2 linked regions of the Arabidopsis thaliana genome follow. The protein of the gene in region 1 interacts with the protein of each later gene in a biochemical or structural test. Each region holds a gene or a part of one and is shown on either strand. Other genes may lie near its edges. The genes, in order: TCP-1 and COP1.

Region 1 (7,797 bases):
GTTCGGAAAATGCTTTAGGATAATTCCTTTTTATTGCTTTTGAAAACGACGACGTTTCTTGTGTCGTACACGTTTTATAACCCAGACCCACGTCTCTCTCTCTCAAAGAAGAGAAGAAGAACTCTCTCTCTATCTCTATCTCTATCTCTCTTCTCCTTCTTCTTCAGTTTCGATCATTCTTGAATCTGATTCTTCTCGAGAAAAAAGCGTTTCAATTTCAGAAATTTCGACTACGATTGTTGCTTTGTTCAATTAGAAGAGGCGAAAAAGGATGGCGACGGTTAATGGGTACACAGGGAATACTCCGGCGGCGACTACACCGGCAGCCACCGGATCAAAGCAATCTGCTCCTCCGACTAAGACCGTCGATAGCCACTCCGTTCTAAAAAGGTTATTTCTTTTTTACATTTTTCCGATCTTGGAATATTCTCGCGTCCATTTAAAGGAATTAGTCTTTAGCCTCTTAATGATTAGAATCGCTGCGATTGTTTATAGAGTTGTTCATGTTTCTTTAGGTAGATTAGATTAGGTTTTGGCTCTACCCATATCCATTTCTTGTGGTCTACATGCTTTCTAGATCATTTTTAGAGAAAACGATGGATCCAAAACTGATTGTGACTTCTCTTGTTCTCTTCTGAAATGATGGGTTCTCTCTTTGTCTACCAACTGTTTGTTATAATGTCTCTAAGAGAATGATACATCAAACTTTGTATGTACTACAGATCTCAAGTACTTTCTTTTATGTACCCTTTCTTGATCAAAGCAAACAAATTCATGGTTTTGCTAATTCATTGTTTTTCCTTAATTGCAGGCTGCAATCTGAACTAATGGGATTGATGGTAAGCTATCTTTTCTCTGCATAACTGAACCTGTTGATATGGTTGGATGCTTATATAGAGGCCTTTGGGTTTATGTATTGCAGATGGGAGCTGATCCGGGGATATCTGCGTTTCCAGAGGAAGACAACATATTTTGCTGGAAAGGAACAATTACAGGAAGCAAAGATACTGTGTTCGAAGGAACTGAGTACAGACTCTCACTCACTTTCTCTAACGATTATCCTTTTAAGTCTCCCAAAGTTAAGTTTGAGACATGCTGCTTCCACCCCAATGTGGATCTCTATGGCAATATTTGCTTGGACATTCTTCAGGTACATAACAATCACTTGCTCTTTCTACTTGTGTTACTGTAAATCCCATGGAATCACATATCAGAGAAGCAGTACTTAAAACAGAATCTGTTTTCACATCTTTTGTAGGATAAATGGTCATCTGCTTATGATGTGAGGACGATATTACTCTCAATTCAAAGCCTTCTCGGAGGTAAACTCTATGGCTGATATAACTGTTGAGGTTACTTATGAAGAATTTCTCTGTTGGTTTGATCCAGTATCTGATTTTTCCTGTTTTGTTTTAATTGATCAGAACCGAACATCAGCTCACCATTGAACAATCAAGCGGCTCAGCTTTGGAGCAATCAAGAAGGTAAAATTGCAATAGTTATCAGATTACACATCTCTGGACGTCTCCATTTTTCGATTCATAATGATATTCGTCTTCTTGAACTTGTAATGTTATACAGAGTACAGGAAGATGGTTGAGAAGCTCTACAAGCCTTTAAACGCATGATTCTCAAAAATCACTGTAACTGATTTTAAAATCTCAACTGTATTGGATCATATCTCTTTTACTTTTATAATCTCAATTTGAGCCAATATTAGCAATCAAACTCTACCTTTATTACAGTTCCACAATCACCACCTATATCTCTTCCGTAACTGAGATTTGAGAAGTTCATAATAGTAACTCTGAAATGTTGTAGTAAGTATCTGAAAGTATAATACAAAAAAAAGTTTCTGAACTATTGAAAAATCCAGAAACCAAAGTTCCCCACGAGAGAAGTAAGACTCAAACATGTGAAACGTTGGCACCGGACAAAGTACTGAAGACTAATGAAATGTTTTGAAATTGACATTTATGGCCTTCTTTTTAAATCCCCAAGCCCATAATTCGTGCTTAACTCTTTATTACAAATGGGCTTTGAGGGTATATATTATTTCGGCCCAATATAAAAACGTCGCCGCTTCATTCATACCCTGGCCGTACATCCCAGAAACCTTGAAAGTTAAAAACCCGCCGGAGTCTCTCACTCTCACAAACTTTTGAGAAGCATTTTCGCTTCAATTCAATAAAAGGCGAAAAATCTCTCACTGCACTTTATCTCGAGAGCTCAGATCTCCGATCTAGAGCCTTTCGCTTCTCCTCTTCTGTTCATATAACAACTGAATAATGTCGATCTCCGCCCAAAATCCGGATATTTCCGGCGATAGACAATCCGGCCAAGATGTTCGTACTCAGAACGGTACTACTACTCTCCATCGCTTCCTCTTACGTCTATTTCCTATCTCTTCTCATTACTAAACTGTTCACTTTGTTTTCATCGCAAATTTGTTTCGATCTCTAGCTAGGGTTTGTTTTGAATCTATTCTTTTAGATGTTTTGTGGTTATTGACTCGTATTTTATATACTCTATTTGCAGTGATGGCTTGTCAAGCTGTTTCTAATATTGTTAAGACCTCACTTGGTCCCGTCGGCCTCGACAAGGTTTGGTTTCTGATTTGCATCTGTGTATATATATTCTGCTAGCTTTCTTTTTTATATCTTAGATGCATCTTGGCAACAGTTGTGTTTAGTTTTAGGTTACTTTTAGACCTAACCATTTCTAGTTTTATTCTAAATCTGCTCGATATTGTCCTTTGTATTTTCGTTCCTAGTTCCTCCAATCGTGTTTCATGTTATGTTGGCTTGTGTTTCAGATGTTGGTGGATGATATTGGTGATGTGACTATTACAAATGATGGTGCTACTATTCTTAGGATGTTGGAGGTCGAGCACCCTGCTGCTAAGGTAATTTATGCAAATGTGATTGTTATACGTATTTTCTTATCATCATTTCAAAACACTGGTTATGAATTATTAGTTACTCAGTTCTCTAATCTGTCTACTTTTGTTGTGACAGGTTCTTGTCGAGTTAGCTGAACTTCAAGATAGAGAAGTCGGTGATGGGACTACATCTGTTGTTATTGTAGCTGCTGAGTTGTTGAAGGTTAGTTTGATTACTGTTTTCTTTGGTTTTGGTTTTCCTAGAGTTGGGAGATTTTTCACATGGTAACTATTGCTTGATGATTAATGGGTCTTATGTATATATTTGCAGAGGGCAAATGATTTGGTCAGGAACAAAATACATCCAACATCAATTATCAGTGGATATAGGGTAAGCTGCGACTTTAATTTCATATGTTGTAACCTGCACTGCAGAAGTGTTTCCAGTGTGTTCATTATCTTTTTTACTGTTGACAGCTAGCAATGAGAGAATCTTGCAAATACATAGAAGAGAAGTTGGTGACCAAGGTTAGTCCTCGTGTGATGGTCTATAGTCTTGCCTCTTAGAGGAAATTTTCCTCTCTTCATACAATTTTTTTGTGTCAGTATAATTGGGAAAGCTCACTGTACTGTCTGTCTCTTCCCCTTTAGTTAATTACTTTTTTTTTTGCGTTTTATAGGTCGAAAAGCTTGGGAAAGTTCCATTGATAAACTGTGCCAAAACCAGCATGTCCTCCAAACTGATATCTGGTGACAGCGACTTCTTTGCCAATTTGGTACGCTTCCAGTTCTCCTTACTAAGCAATAACGTGGAAATTCATTAAAACATTAGTGTTATTAAAACCTATGTTTATTCTTGGTTTTTTCTTGGGGGACTCTTTTCTACTTAAATCTGGTTTATCTTGCAATAATACCCTAGTCATTGCATGTGGCTGAACTGTTATAATCACATTTCTTTTAAAGGTTGTGGAAGCCGTTCTTTCAGTAAAGATGACAAATCAGCGGGGAGAGATAAAATACCCTATCAAGGTCTGTTAATGCTTCTCTGTCAAAGTTTCAAACATAAAGATCTGTAGTGAGGATGATATTTTTATGCTTAAACGCTTATTCTTACCGCATTGTAGGGCATTAATATTCTGAAAGCTCATGGACAAAGTGCAAGAGACAGCTATTTGTTAAATGGATATGCACTCAATACTGGTCGTGCTGCCCAAGGGATGCCATTACGAGTGTCCCCAGCAAAGATTGCTTGCCTTGACTTCAATCTGCAGAAGACAAAAATGCAGCTGGGTGTCCAAGTTGTTGTTAATGACCCACGAGAACTTGAAAAGATCCGTCAAAGGTAGTTTTCGCAGTTATACACTTTTCCCTGAATTCCTTACATTCAGAGTGCTTGCTTTTTTCCTACCAAATGTCATTCGGTTTGTTCTCTTGATCCTTGGGTGAAGAAGTATTTGCATTCTCCAATTTCCGGGTGTATGCGATATGGAAAGCTTAATAAATTTGCTTTACTGTACACTTGTAGCTCATGTTATCTGTGTTCCATACAGAGTTTTTTAATATGTTGCTGAATATTTGTTTCCACAGAGAAGCTGACATGACAAAAGAGCGGATAGAGAAACTTCTCAAAGCTGGGGCCAATGTAATTCTGACCACAAAGGGGATTGACGACATGGCACTTAAAGTGAGAATGAAAACCAATGATTTTCTCTATCGTTTACACATAACTTAGTTTTTGAAGTATTCAAGTTTAGTTGCGTTTATGTTTGGTTCACCGTAATGGATTCTCATTTCTCTTGTTTTTATTTCAGTACTTTGTAGAGGCAGGAGCTATTGCTGTTAGGCGTGTGCGCAAAGAAGACATGCGTCATGTTGCCAAGGCGACAGGAGCGACTCTGGTACTTCCTGCGCTAGGCTTTTTCAATACCCATGTTGTCAAACTAAAATTTCAACTAATATATTTATCCTTTATTTTAGGTCACCACTTTTGCTGACATGGAGGGCGAAGAAACATTTGATCCAGCTCACCTTGGATCTGCTGATGAGGTTGTTGAAGAGAGAATCGCAGATGATGATGTTATATTGATAAAGGGAACCAAAACAAGTAGTGCGGTATGCCATTCTCTCAGCAATGAATCTTACTTGATTGCTGACAGTACTATATCACACAAAATCAATCTTAAGTATATTTCTTTTAAAGTTGTTTAACATATCACACAGAGTTTTGTCTAGGTTTTTCATGTTTATAAGTGTTTTTTTCCTGTTAGGTCTCGTTGATCTTAAGAGGTGCAAATGACTACATGCTTGATGAGATGGAGAGAGCACTGCATGACGCTTTATGTATTGTCAAGAGGACCCTTGAGTCCAACACGGTAACATTCCTTTACTTTCTGTTAGACATACTCCTTGCATTTAGCAAAGAACAAACATTACATTTCTTGTTTCCTTGTCAAACAGGTGGTTGCGGGTGGAGGTGCAGTTGAATCAGCATTGTCTGTGTATCTGGAGCACCTTGCTACAACCTTGGGCTCTCGCGAACAATTGGCCATCGCTGAATTTGCTGATGCGCTATTGATTATACCAAAGGTGCGACCTACAAACCTATTTCATCAATAAAAATCTGTCTTTTGTTCTTATCTTATAATCCAACGTTTATCATCCTGTTATCAGGTGCTTGCAGTAAACGCTGCTAAGGATGCAACCGAATTGGTAGCTAAACTAAGAGCGTACCACCACACTGCACAAACCAAGGCTGATAAGAAGCACTATTCAAGGTGATAAGCAATCTGTTTGTGTCTTTTCCCTTTGAGGTTCTGTTTGAAAATGTTATATGCTCATTGGCTTCATGTTGAGAAAACGTAAATGCAGCATGGGACTTGACCTCGTAAACGGAACCATCCGCAACAATTTGGAAGCTGGAGTGATCGAACCAGCTATGAGCAAAGTGAAAATTATCCAGGTAAAAGGCACTTGGCTTTACATGAACTAGAATATTAAAAAATCAAGTAATCTCTTAAATTTTAAAGGAGCTTTGTTTTGTGACCAGTTTGCAACAGAGGCAGCCATAACGATTCTACGAATTGACGACATGATCAAACTGGTGAAGGATGAGAGCCAAGGCGAAGAATAAGCAAAGCTCAGCTCCTCTTTATCCGCCTTATCATCCTTAGTGTGTGTTTTTGTCCGCATTTTCAGCTCCTCTTTAGCTTCTTTTTTGCGCTGTAACAATGTAGCCTCTGAAAGAGCTGTTTCTGTTTATTTTTCAACTCTCTCGTTTCTTGCTCACTTTTTACTTCAAGAAATTTTTGCTTTTTGTCGGGTAACGCATGTAATGAAGTTGGGCTTTCGTCTCTTACTGTTTGAATTTATGGTGTAGTTTTTGAATGTCCTCTCTCACACAATGACACAAAGATTTATCCCCAAAAGATTAGGTTTCACTGTTCTGTATTAATTCCGTTGCACTAACAAGTCATTTTTTGTTGTTGTAAATAAACTGTAATTTACTTAATCATGAGTAGAAGAAACTAAAAAGTGCCTACAATATTTACACAAACCTACATGCTTCTAAAACAATTGGCTATATACATTGTAAATATGTACACAAATTATTCATACGGATGGTATTGTTTGAACACTTTGTGACGAAGCCAGCAACAATGCAGAGCCAATGCTGGAACCATCTTCCATGGCCTTCACCACTACGTGTTGAGCCACATCTTCTCCCAGTATATCTCTCAGAGCTTCGTCCATATATTCTCTGAACATCCTGTAGTTCAAATACAGACCTCCTTCAACTGCCACCACTGTTCTTCTCATTATCTGCTTATCGCTTCTCCTTCCTCCTCCGCTCCCATCTCTCCCTACCTTCTTCAAGATTCCTGCAATTCCTGCTGCTGCTAGCCTAGCTGCTCTGCGTGTCACTACATCGCAGATCTTCACTACAAGTTTCCTCACCTTCATTGGTACCTCTGACACCTGTGATTATGAATCAAAGATAGAGAGAGAGAGAGCCAAGATAATGAGCCAAGTGAACAGAACAAAACTTTGCATCACAACAAACTTGTTTGCTTACCCCTAAATCTTTCAAGATTCGTGCTACTTCTTGTAACTCGGATGTGTCATCTTCATGCATTGCTGAGACAGAATTTGTTCTGAAATTGGAGGAAAAATTTATTCAGACAAATATATACGTATAGATAAACACGAAAATCATGTTACGTAAAAGCTACTATGTGCTTTTTGAGAATTCGCAAAAGTTTATATAGGAAACGAAGTATACGTTTGGCAGTTTTTTTTTCCATTTGAAACAGAAGCAGAAGAAAACATAACGGAAATGTACCTCAGAACGAAAGGCGTGGATAAAATGGATGAGATAGGTCCAAAGATGTCGGACTCTTGTGACATTCGAAGAATTACTCTGCGGACAATGTCGCCCAGATACATCCCTCCTATCATCTTCTCAAAGCCCTATAAAACAATACCCACCAAATTGATTACCTGATAAAAAATAACTTGAAAACATGATAAAACGAAACAAGAGAAAGGAAACTTCGCAAAATATTACCATGTCATTTGAATTCATACTCTCTGCATCCAACTCAAGGTCATATGAAGTTCTTGGCAGACGAGATGACCAAAAGTTTCCCCACTCCATATTGACCACCTAACACAAAATAACAAAGTATCATAAAGAAGAAAAAATCAAGTCTTTTAAATTGAATCCTGTGGAATCTAAACTTTGATGGCTGGTTTCTAAGGATGAACTATGTAACGATTCTTAATAGTTATTACCATGCTTCCAGAAGTCGTGCGTGGATTTTGACACTTGATTATGGCATCAGTTCGTTCAAGGTAACATGCATTACTACCTGTTCCAAAGACAACAGCAGCAATTGTGTCTGGGTCATGAAAATGTC
Region 2 (8,919 bases), on another chromosome or scaffold:
TACGGTGTGTTGCCTTAACCCTCATATGTTTAAGCATTTTCGCAGCCTGCCAAGTTTCAATGAAAACTTCACAAGCTCAAAACAAAAGCAGCCAGTCATGTTCTCAGTTATTGCATTTAAAAGCCAGAACTACCTTAATCCAGTCGATTTGCCGTGGTGTCTCAACACTCTGATTGGCTTTCAGGAATTCAATAACTGGACCAGGTTCTAAGATCATTGTTGTTGACACATCTGCAAACCATCACAAAACGAAAACAGTTTTGCTTATTAATAAAACTATCCACAATTAAGACAAGTTTATGAAAGCTGGAGATGAGAAAGGTATACTGAAAAATACCAATGTTAAGCGAGAGTCCTCCATGAGTTGGACGAAAGCTCGAATGTAAACCTCGAATACCTATAACACCTCCTCCAACTTTCATGGGGTGCCCATCGCTATGGAAAAATGCCTGTCTGACCAAAAGGCATCCCCTGCATTATCAACAGTTTTCTATAGTAAGCATCGAGCATGGTCACAAAATGCAAATAGTTGTACATTGATTAAATTTCACCAACAAAGTGAAAATATGATAATAAAAATTGGTCCATTAGAACGTAGAGTATCTATTTTAATAAAAATATAAACTGCACAAAAGCAAACAGATAGAAAGATTTACCTTTCAGCTGCTTGCTGCCTCAGTACAATGTCAAGCACTCTAAGTGCATCCTGAGCACTCTTATCTGGTGTATAAGCTCCTCTCTGAGTGCCAAGAACAGTCTTCAACGGTATTTCTGCAGCATAATGTATCTGAACCTTGTAACTTCTTGGCAAGAAAGAACGTTTTGATCGCTTGCAAGTACCGGAAGAACTACCACCATCAGAGACACCACAATCACTATAAACTTAACAAGACTGCGTTAGTTAGAAGATCAACAAGATCTATCTTGACACCTTGAAACGATTAAATATCAATCCAGATAAGAGGGACATACCGTTTTGAAAATGACCCTTCCACGATGACTAGAAAGTCAAATTCGTTCTGTGGTAGAGGACCAACAGTATATAAAGTCTTCTCTCCATCATATGCCAACCTTTTACCATCAAGATCAGAAGAGTAAGTCTTGAATAGTTGGTCCATAAGCTTTCTGCTTATTCCTGTCCCATCAACAGCATCACCGTTTTCTGTGGTGATACTAACCTGCAAAAAAGGTACCGATATGTCAAACATCTCACACACGCACAGACACTGATGAAAGAATGCAGAAAAGTGACTAATGAATCTTACAGTGTACTGGTAAAATACTACATCCGGCTGTCTCACAGAAACATTAAAGTGATTGGTGCACAATTCTATTGGGTTGCCTGTGGTTCCAACCCCACGTCTAGTTGTGATGTCATAATCTCGATGGCTGGGCTGTTCTGGTTCTATACTTATGGGTGACAGTGGCAGAGATGAAGATGTCTCCATCCTTCCAGGGGAAAATAATCTGCAAGAGAGAAAAGTGGAGGTTGGTTACAGTGTGCAAAAACCAGTCCAAAACACAATGCTCAGGAGACTAAGAAAGAAAAGAAAAACACCAAATTAAGAAGACAACTCCAAAAGGTAAAAAGCTAAAAACTTTACCACCATTGTCGTTCTAAGATTTTAATTTCTGGGCATATCCTGCTAAATCGCGAGAAATGGTATAAATTTCAGATGAGGAACAAACTTAATCTGGAAAAAAAATGGCACCTTTAACTGTTGGTCGCCTTCAAAATTGAGAAACATTACACAAACAAAAACTCATTCGAGTGTGTCATACAGTAGCATAACAAGACTTTCAAGAGAGAAACAACGCAGCCAAAACCATACAACTATCAACAGACAAATCCTAGCTTCATGCAAATTCTCCGAAAGAGAGACAAAAACAAAACCTAGCTCCGAATCAACAACAATTACAACAGCGATATCTAGTGAAAACAGCGCACCTTTGAAAGAATTAAGAAGAGGATTTCTAGGGTTCCGGTGAATCAAAGAGAGGAATTTATTTAGCTCATTTCTCTTCTCCGTCACAGTCTCTTTGGGTTTCCCAGACAAGCAAAAGAATGGAGGGAACGTTTCCAGTGATGGGAAAATTAAAATATATTTCACTTTTCAGTCATTTTTTACAGTAACAAAATTTAAGAACTGAAATAAAAATGGTTTATTCCAAAATTATTAAACCGAATCCTTCAAAACTTATTCTATTTCTAGGGTTATGCTCCGGTTGAATGGATTGAAATTCCCAACTTATTCATTTCAAATAGTAAGAAATAAAATGAATGGTTGTAAGAAATTAAATTAGACCGTCGTGGTAATTGTAAGAAATTTCATTGAACCGGACTATAAATTAGAAGCCGGATAATTAAACCGTACCAGCGCTTGGAGAAACGCCAGACACACGCGCGAAAAGAAGCGCGTAGACCAGAACGTGTAGGATTTGTCACCTCAGAAAAGAACCACGGTGGATCCCACCACACCTCAGCCTCACTCCTCCTTCATCTCCGACGTCATACCCAAACCACTCTTTTCTCACAATTCCGATTTTCTCAAAAACCAAAATCACAATCGAAGAAATCTTTTGAAAGCAAAATGGAAGAGATTTCGACGGATCCGGTTGTTCCAGCGGTGAAACCTGACCCGAGAACATCTTCAGTTGGTGAAGGTGCTAATCGTCATGAAAATGACGACGGAGGAAGCGGCGGTTCTGAGATTGGAGCACCGGATCTGGATAAAGACTTGCTTTGTCCGATTTGTATGCAGATTATTAAAGATGCTTTCCTCACGGCTTGTGGTCATAGTTTCTGCTATATGTGTATCATCACACATCTTAGGAACAAGAGTGATTGTCCCTGTTGTAGCCAACACCTCACCAATAATCAGCTTTACCCTAATTTCTTGCTCGATAAGGTTTCTTTTTCTAATTTTACTCGTAATTTGTGTTTGGTCCTTAGCTTTTCAGTTCAAGTTCGGGTGTTGCTTGTTTGAGTCTTAGCTTGTAATCAAGTTTGGTTTTTGTCGTGGTTTTTGTGGAAACAAGTAAGCTAGCTTAGTCTTTAATCGATTCCAATGAACCTTGCCATTAGATTTTCTTAGGAAGGTTTTGTTTTGTTTTTGATGTGTAGTATTGTGGTAGGATTCTGCTTATTACAGCTAAATAGAAGCATGTTTATAGGAATGATAGTGTATTGAAACTATTTATCACTGGAATGCAGCTTATTATATGACGTTTATGTATCAATTGTGTAGCTATTGAAGAAAACTTCAGCTCGGCATGTGTCAAAAACTGCATCGCCCTTGGATCAGTTTCGGGAAGCACTACAAAGGGTCGGTTCTTAACAAGCTTTTTATGTTTCATTTTTTCCTCTTTAAGTTTGCTTTCTCAGAATTATTATTGGAGTAAAAAGCAATTCTAAGTCATTTCTTTTGATCAAATATTGACTTCCTGCGTTCATACTTAGACAGGGTTGTGATGTGTCAATTAAGGAGGTTGATAATCTTCTGACACTTCTTGCGGAAAGGAAGAGAAAAATGGAACAGGAAGAAGCTGAGAGGAACATGCAGATACTTTTGGACTTTTTGCATTGTCTAAGGAAGCAAAAAGTTGATGAACTAAATGAGGTTGGTTTGTCTGAATTATGGAGTAGCATTGGGCTACCTATTGATAATTATTCTCGTTGCTCTTCATTCCATTTGCTTCAAAATCTTCACTGGGTTTAGACTGTATAGTTGTTGTAAAAGAAAGCCATAAACCATGTTTCTATCAATAGATGTATGATCTATCCAACTATTCATGAGACGTATAACCCCTGAATGTTAGATGAGATCTCAGAATATTATAGAATTCTGTCATTTATGTCTTCTCTATCTTAATGTAGGTGCAAACTGATCTCCAGTATATTAAAGAAGATATAAATGCCGTTGAGAGACATAGAATAGATTTATACCGAGCTAGGGACAGATATTCTGTAAAGTTGCGGATGCTCGGAGATGATCCAAGCACAAGAAATGCATGGCCACATGAGAAGAACCAGATTGGTTTCAACTCCAATTCTCTCAGCATAAGAGGAGGAAATTTTGTAGGCAATTATCAAAACAAAAAGGTAGAGGGGAAGGCACAAGGAAGCTCTCATGGGCTACCAAAGAAGGATGCGCTGAGTGGGTCAGATTCGCAAAGTTTGAATCAGTCAACTGTCTCAATGGCTAGAAAGAAACGGATTCATGCTCAGGTTTGTTCCTCCTTGTCTACTCAACATCTTTATGCTGAAATGGTAAAAGGACAATGGCATTAAAGTTTAAGATATTTGTCTATTAAAGAATAAGAATAATTACTACAATTAGGCCCCAGTGATTGTGTTACAGTTACTACCATGCCTAGCTACTCAGCTCTTGGTCATCTGGATTGACAGCTCGAGAAATTGAAAGTGGTTGTGGGTAGAGGATGAATCTTCTTACGGAAAAGATACCTTAGATTAAGGCCCACATTTTTGGTGGTCTTTATAAAAAGCCGATTGGACTTCAGAGAGATTGATTTCGTATTGTTTGCACGTAAAAGTAGAAATAGCTTTCTGGACTTTATATCTACTGCTTAGTGATAGTAGCCGCTTCTTGTCTCTCTGGTACTATAGCAACAAAAAGTCACTATGTTCTCTAGACACACTAACAGTTCTGTGAATACTATGCAATCACAATTATAGTAGTTTTCTTGAAAAAACCTGCATGGTCCTTTAATCTCTCTGTAACTGCTTGTTGATATATGCACAGATTGCCTAATTCTGTTAAAGTGTCTTGTCTTGTAGTTCAATGATTTACAAGAATGTTACCTCCAAAAGCGGCGTCAGTTGGCAGACCAACCAAATAGTAAACAAGAAAATGATAAGAGTGTAGTACGGAGGGAAGGCTATAGCAACGGCCTTGCAGATTTTCAATCTGTGTTGACTACCTTCACTCGCTACAGGTAGAGGAGTGACTATCCCTTTTCAATCGGTCTAGCCGTACATAAAGAGTGTTTTCGAATTAGTTGGGGTTTTAATTGCACTCTTTATTCACAGTCGTCTAAGAGTTATAGCAGAAATCCGGCATGGGGATATATTTCATTCAGCCAACATTGTATCAAGGTGAATTTTCTATTCCTTGTTCGTTGATCAGATAACAGATGATAGGTACCAAAAGAATGTCTCCGAATATATCAAAATAGACCCTTAAGTGATTAAGTTTTGTTTAATGTATTGATAGACGCAATTATTACTATGGGATTCGTTGCTGTGTAATTCTAAGCCAGTGAATAGTATGAAGATAAAACTGCTGACATGGTAGGGAGAAGGTTGTGTAGTCAGCAGGCCACTTGAGGAGAATTTTCTAAAAGATGGAACACTATGTTATCCTTATCCATGTCGGAATATATAGAATCGGTTTGCGATCTTTTATATGAAAGTGTCTCTTCTCAATGAAGAGACGAAAGATATATATTTTTAGTTTATGGTCTGGGAGCTCCGGGGCTCATATCTTTTTCTCTCTATGTGCTTTGGTTTATGGTCTTCCATAGTTTACATGCTTTATGCTTTGCCTGGACCTCTAGTTTACCTGTAATTTGATGTACCATCTTACTGATTTTGCTGATGAAGAGGGTGCTGTTCCTTTTCAGCATAGAGTTTGATCGTGATGATGAGCTGTTTGCCACTGCTGGTGTTTCTAGATGTATAAAGGTTTTTGACTTCTCTTCGGTACGTTCATAAATCTTGGAGTGCATTCAATTACATACCAATTGAATCTTCTTGTCCAACCTTATGCTTTTGTGAAACTGATCATGCATCTCAATTCTAAGAAAGCTTCGTTGATAATGAAACTAAGTTATGCTCTTGGGAAATTCTAGCTTTGATGCAAGATAGCCATTTTACACTTTTGTATTGCGTAGAAGAATATAAATCAAAGCTAATCAAATTTTTGGTTTTAATTTTCTGTTTTATCCAATGGACCACGCTGAACTGATTGATTATCGGCTGCTACTTTTCAGGTTGTAAATGAACCAGCAGATATGCAGTGTCCGATTGTGGAGATGTCAACTCGGTCTAAACTTAGTTGCTTGAGTTGGAATAAGCATGAAAAAAATCACATAGCAAGCAGTGATTATGAAGGAATAGTAACAGTGTGGGATGTAACTACTAGGCAGGTGAGTACTTTACCCAAAGTATCTAACATCGCACCTATAAGATATTCATCTCATGAATTCTGCAGCGTATTTGAATTTTTATGTAAACTGAGGCAGAGTCTTATGGAGTATGAAGAGCACGAAAAACGTGCCTGGAGTGTTGACTTTTCACGAACAGAACCATCAATGCTTGTATCTGGTAGTGACGACTGCAAGGTAAATATCTCCATATTTTCCGTTATCACCTTTCATCTCACATTGGGCTATGTCTCATATAAAAAGAATACTACTTTTAGATATCTCCTAGCTCTTATAACTAACTTGGTCACGGATTTGTCTAATTTCTACGACGAACTAAAGAGACATATTGTGAAACAAAACTGGAGAATCTCCTACTTGCTCATTAGTACATTGTGTTCTCATGAATCTTTTCTACTACTTCTTAAACTTTTCTTTGAGTTGTTCTTCCCAACTTGGGGATTGGTCATATGTAGCCCTTCCTACATTGAATGTTTGTTGGTTTCTTAAATTTTCAGCAAAATTTTCCCCTTAGTGTATCTGTGGTGGCTATACATTAGGAAACAAACGAAACTGGACACTTGTATATAGTAGATTTTACCTTGAAATTTTGTAGCTTCATTTGTCCAAATTTAATTAAACGTTATTGAAAAATTCACTGGATTTCTAATTCTGACAAAAGCATATTATACCAGTGGGCTCCTTTTAAGTCAATTCACTACTAGTTAATCCTCAACCATGCATTATTGCATCTGTTAAATCATGTCTCATAGATTAACCAATTGTGCTGTGTGTTTGATCCAGGTTAAAGTTTGGTGCACGAGGCAGGAAGCAAGTGTGATTAATATTGATATGAAAGCAAACATATGTTGTGTCAAGTACAATCCTGGCTCAAGCAACTACATTGCGGTATATACTTCCACGCCTCAACTTTGCATCTCACATTTATTCGCTACCACTCATGATCAGCATGACACTATCACACGTCTCTAGATATAATCTTTAATTAGATAGAGAGACTTAGACGTTTAAGCCTGTTGACTTATCACAGGTCGGATCAGCTGATCATCACATCCATTATTACGATCTAAGAAACATAAGCCAACCACTTCATGTCTTCAGTGGACACAAGAAAGCAGTTTCCTATGTTAAATTTTTGTCCAACAACGAGCTCGCTTCTGCGTCCACAGATAGCACACTACGCTTATGGGATGTCAAAGACAACTTGCCAGTTAGATTACTGCCCGAGCCAATCTTGCAGATTCAGTCAAAAAGAAAAACTTGTCTTGACTATGTTGTTCAATTTTACTTTTCAGGTTCGAACATTCAGAGGACATACTAACGAGAAGAACTTTGTGGGTCTCACAGTGAACAGCGAGTATCTCGCCTGTGGAAGCGAGACAAACGAAGTATATGTATATCACAAGGTTCACAAATCCGAAACCTCTGCTCTCAACTTTAGCATTTTTCATTCATGATTCACAGATTTTCAACCTGTCGTTGCTCAAGTATTTTAAAATGTGAATGATGCGATGCAGGAAATCACGAGACCCGTGACATCGCACAGATTTGGATCGCCAGACATGGACGATGCAGAGGAAGAGGCAGGTTCCTACTTTATTAGTGCGGTTTGCTGGAAGAGTGATAGTCCCACGATGTTGACTGCGAATAGTCAAGGAACCATCAAAGTTCTGGTACTCGCTGCGTGATTCTAGTAGACATTACAAAAGATCTTATAGCTTCGTGAATCAATAAAAACAAATTTGCCGTCTATGTTCTTTAGTGGGAGTTACATATAGAGAGAGAACAATTTATTAAAAGTAGGGTTCATCATTTGGAAAGCAACTTTGTATTATTATGCTTGCCTTGGAACACTCCTCAAGAAGAATTTGTATCAGTGATGTAGATATGTCTTACGGTTTCTTAGCTTCTACTTTATATAATTAAATGTTAGAATCAAAATGCGGTGATGTGAATCGGTCATGAAAAGTCAAACCTTGGCTTATACAAAAGGTCCGACCCATGCAATAAGTCATTAGTATGTTCATGTAGCAAGATCATTGAAAAAAAAAAATCATTTTATAATGTAAAATTCATGAGAATTGACGAATTTGTGTCATAAGTGAAATTATATACAATTACTTAACACCTCTAAATTAACTCATAACAAAGTGATTGTGTGACACATTTTCATAAATTGGTCGTATCAATACTATAAGAGTAACCCTTTTAAATTTGGATACGCAACTAGGGATGGCATGATGTCTATATAAAATCATGCATGCTTTGTGAAGTTTAAATCACATGGCCAAACATTTTAGTTTTCGTCTTTTGTTTTCGTTCCTAAAAACGTTACATACTTCACTTGGTCATCTTAGTCATAATAATTAGGTTAGGTGGCTTAATAAAAGAATGCTATTTACAGGTTTTTCTAATTCCCTAAGTTACAAGTCATTGACTTTGTAAACAATCTCTTTTGAGTGGAAAGAACGACTTTTTCACAACGAATTGGACACACTAATGTGTTTCTTCCCTTTAAGCAACCATAGCCATCAAATCCTAGTTTTCTTTCTATTAAATAACTACTTTCATACAACATTTTTTGTTAATTGATATTCTACACATATAATTCGATACCTATCCTATTTTTTAAAAAATAACCGCGAATTCGGGTCTAAATCTTAGTCTCTGTATATTCAGATTCAATTTTTAGTCTATTTCTTTTAGAAATTATTTGCTAGCGAAATACATCTC

The links.
Region 2: the proteins of TCP-1 (region 1) and COP1 form a complex in vitro, tested with the Arabidopsis thaliana proteins (one study listed by BioGRID).

The regions. Positions count from the first base shown.
Region 1 is NC_003074.8:6,996,758-7,004,554, reverse strand, and holds TCP-1 (T-complex protein 1 alpha subunit), read left to right. Parts: upstream 1-2,119; 5' UTR 2,120-2,288; coding exon 2,289-2,361; intron 2,362-2,538; coding exon 2,539-2,603; intron 2,604-2,815; coding exon 2,816-2,905; intron 2,906-3,017; coding exon 3,018-3,104; intron 3,105-3,212; coding exon 3,213-3,272; intron 3,273-3,358; coding exon 3,359-3,409; intron 3,410-3,561; coding exon 3,562-3,657; intron 3,658-3,844; coding exon 3,845-3,910; intron 3,911-4,005; coding exon 4,006-4,223; intron 4,224-4,468; coding exon 4,469-4,565; intron 4,566-4,692; coding exon 4,693-4,779; intron 4,780-4,858; coding exon 4,859-4,993; intron 4,994-5,148; coding exon 5,149-5,253; intron 5,254-5,338; coding exon 5,339-5,467; intron 5,468-5,551; coding exon 5,552-5,655; intron 5,656-5,749; coding exon 5,750-5,840; intron 5,841-5,927; coding exon 5,928-6,011; 3' UTR 6,012-6,396; downstream 6,397-7,797. Other genes in the region: UBC19 (ubiquitin-conjugating enzyme19), read left to right, coding at 272-390, 812-839, 923-1,150, 1,259-1,322, 1,425-1,484, 1,582-1,628; ATHXK4 (Hexokinase), read right to left, coding at 6,491-6,856, 6,954-7,032, 7,221-7,348, 7,446-7,544, 7,673-7,797.
Region 2 is NC_003071.7:13,975,409-13,984,327, forward strand, and holds COP1 (Transducin/WD40 repeat-like superfamily protein), read left to right. Parts: upstream 1-2,472; 5' UTR 2,473-2,591; coding exon 2,592-2,909; intron 2,910-3,248; coding exon 3,249-3,326; intron 3,327-3,460; coding exon of another isoform or gene 3,461-3,464; coding exon 3,465-3,620; intron 3,621-3,877; coding exon 3,878-4,228; intron 4,229-4,798; coding exon 4,799-4,956; intron 4,957-5,050; coding exon 5,051-5,116; intron 5,117-5,643; coding exon 5,644-5,722; intron 5,723-6,012; coding exon 6,013-6,168; intron 6,169-6,264; coding exon 6,265-6,363; intron 6,364-6,969; coding exon 6,970-7,074; intron 7,075-7,216; coding exon 7,217-7,396; intron 7,397-7,481; coding exon 7,482-7,592; intron 7,593-7,703; coding exon 7,704-7,874; 3' UTR 7,875-8,201; downstream 8,202-8,919. Other genes in the region: AGO6 (Argonaute family protein), read right to left, coding at 1-46, 134-231, 338-471, 657-875, 973-1,178, 1,266-1,448. UniProt on the Arabidopsis thaliana protein: E3 ubiquitin-protein ligase that acts as a repressor of photomorphogenesis and as an activator of etiolation in darkness.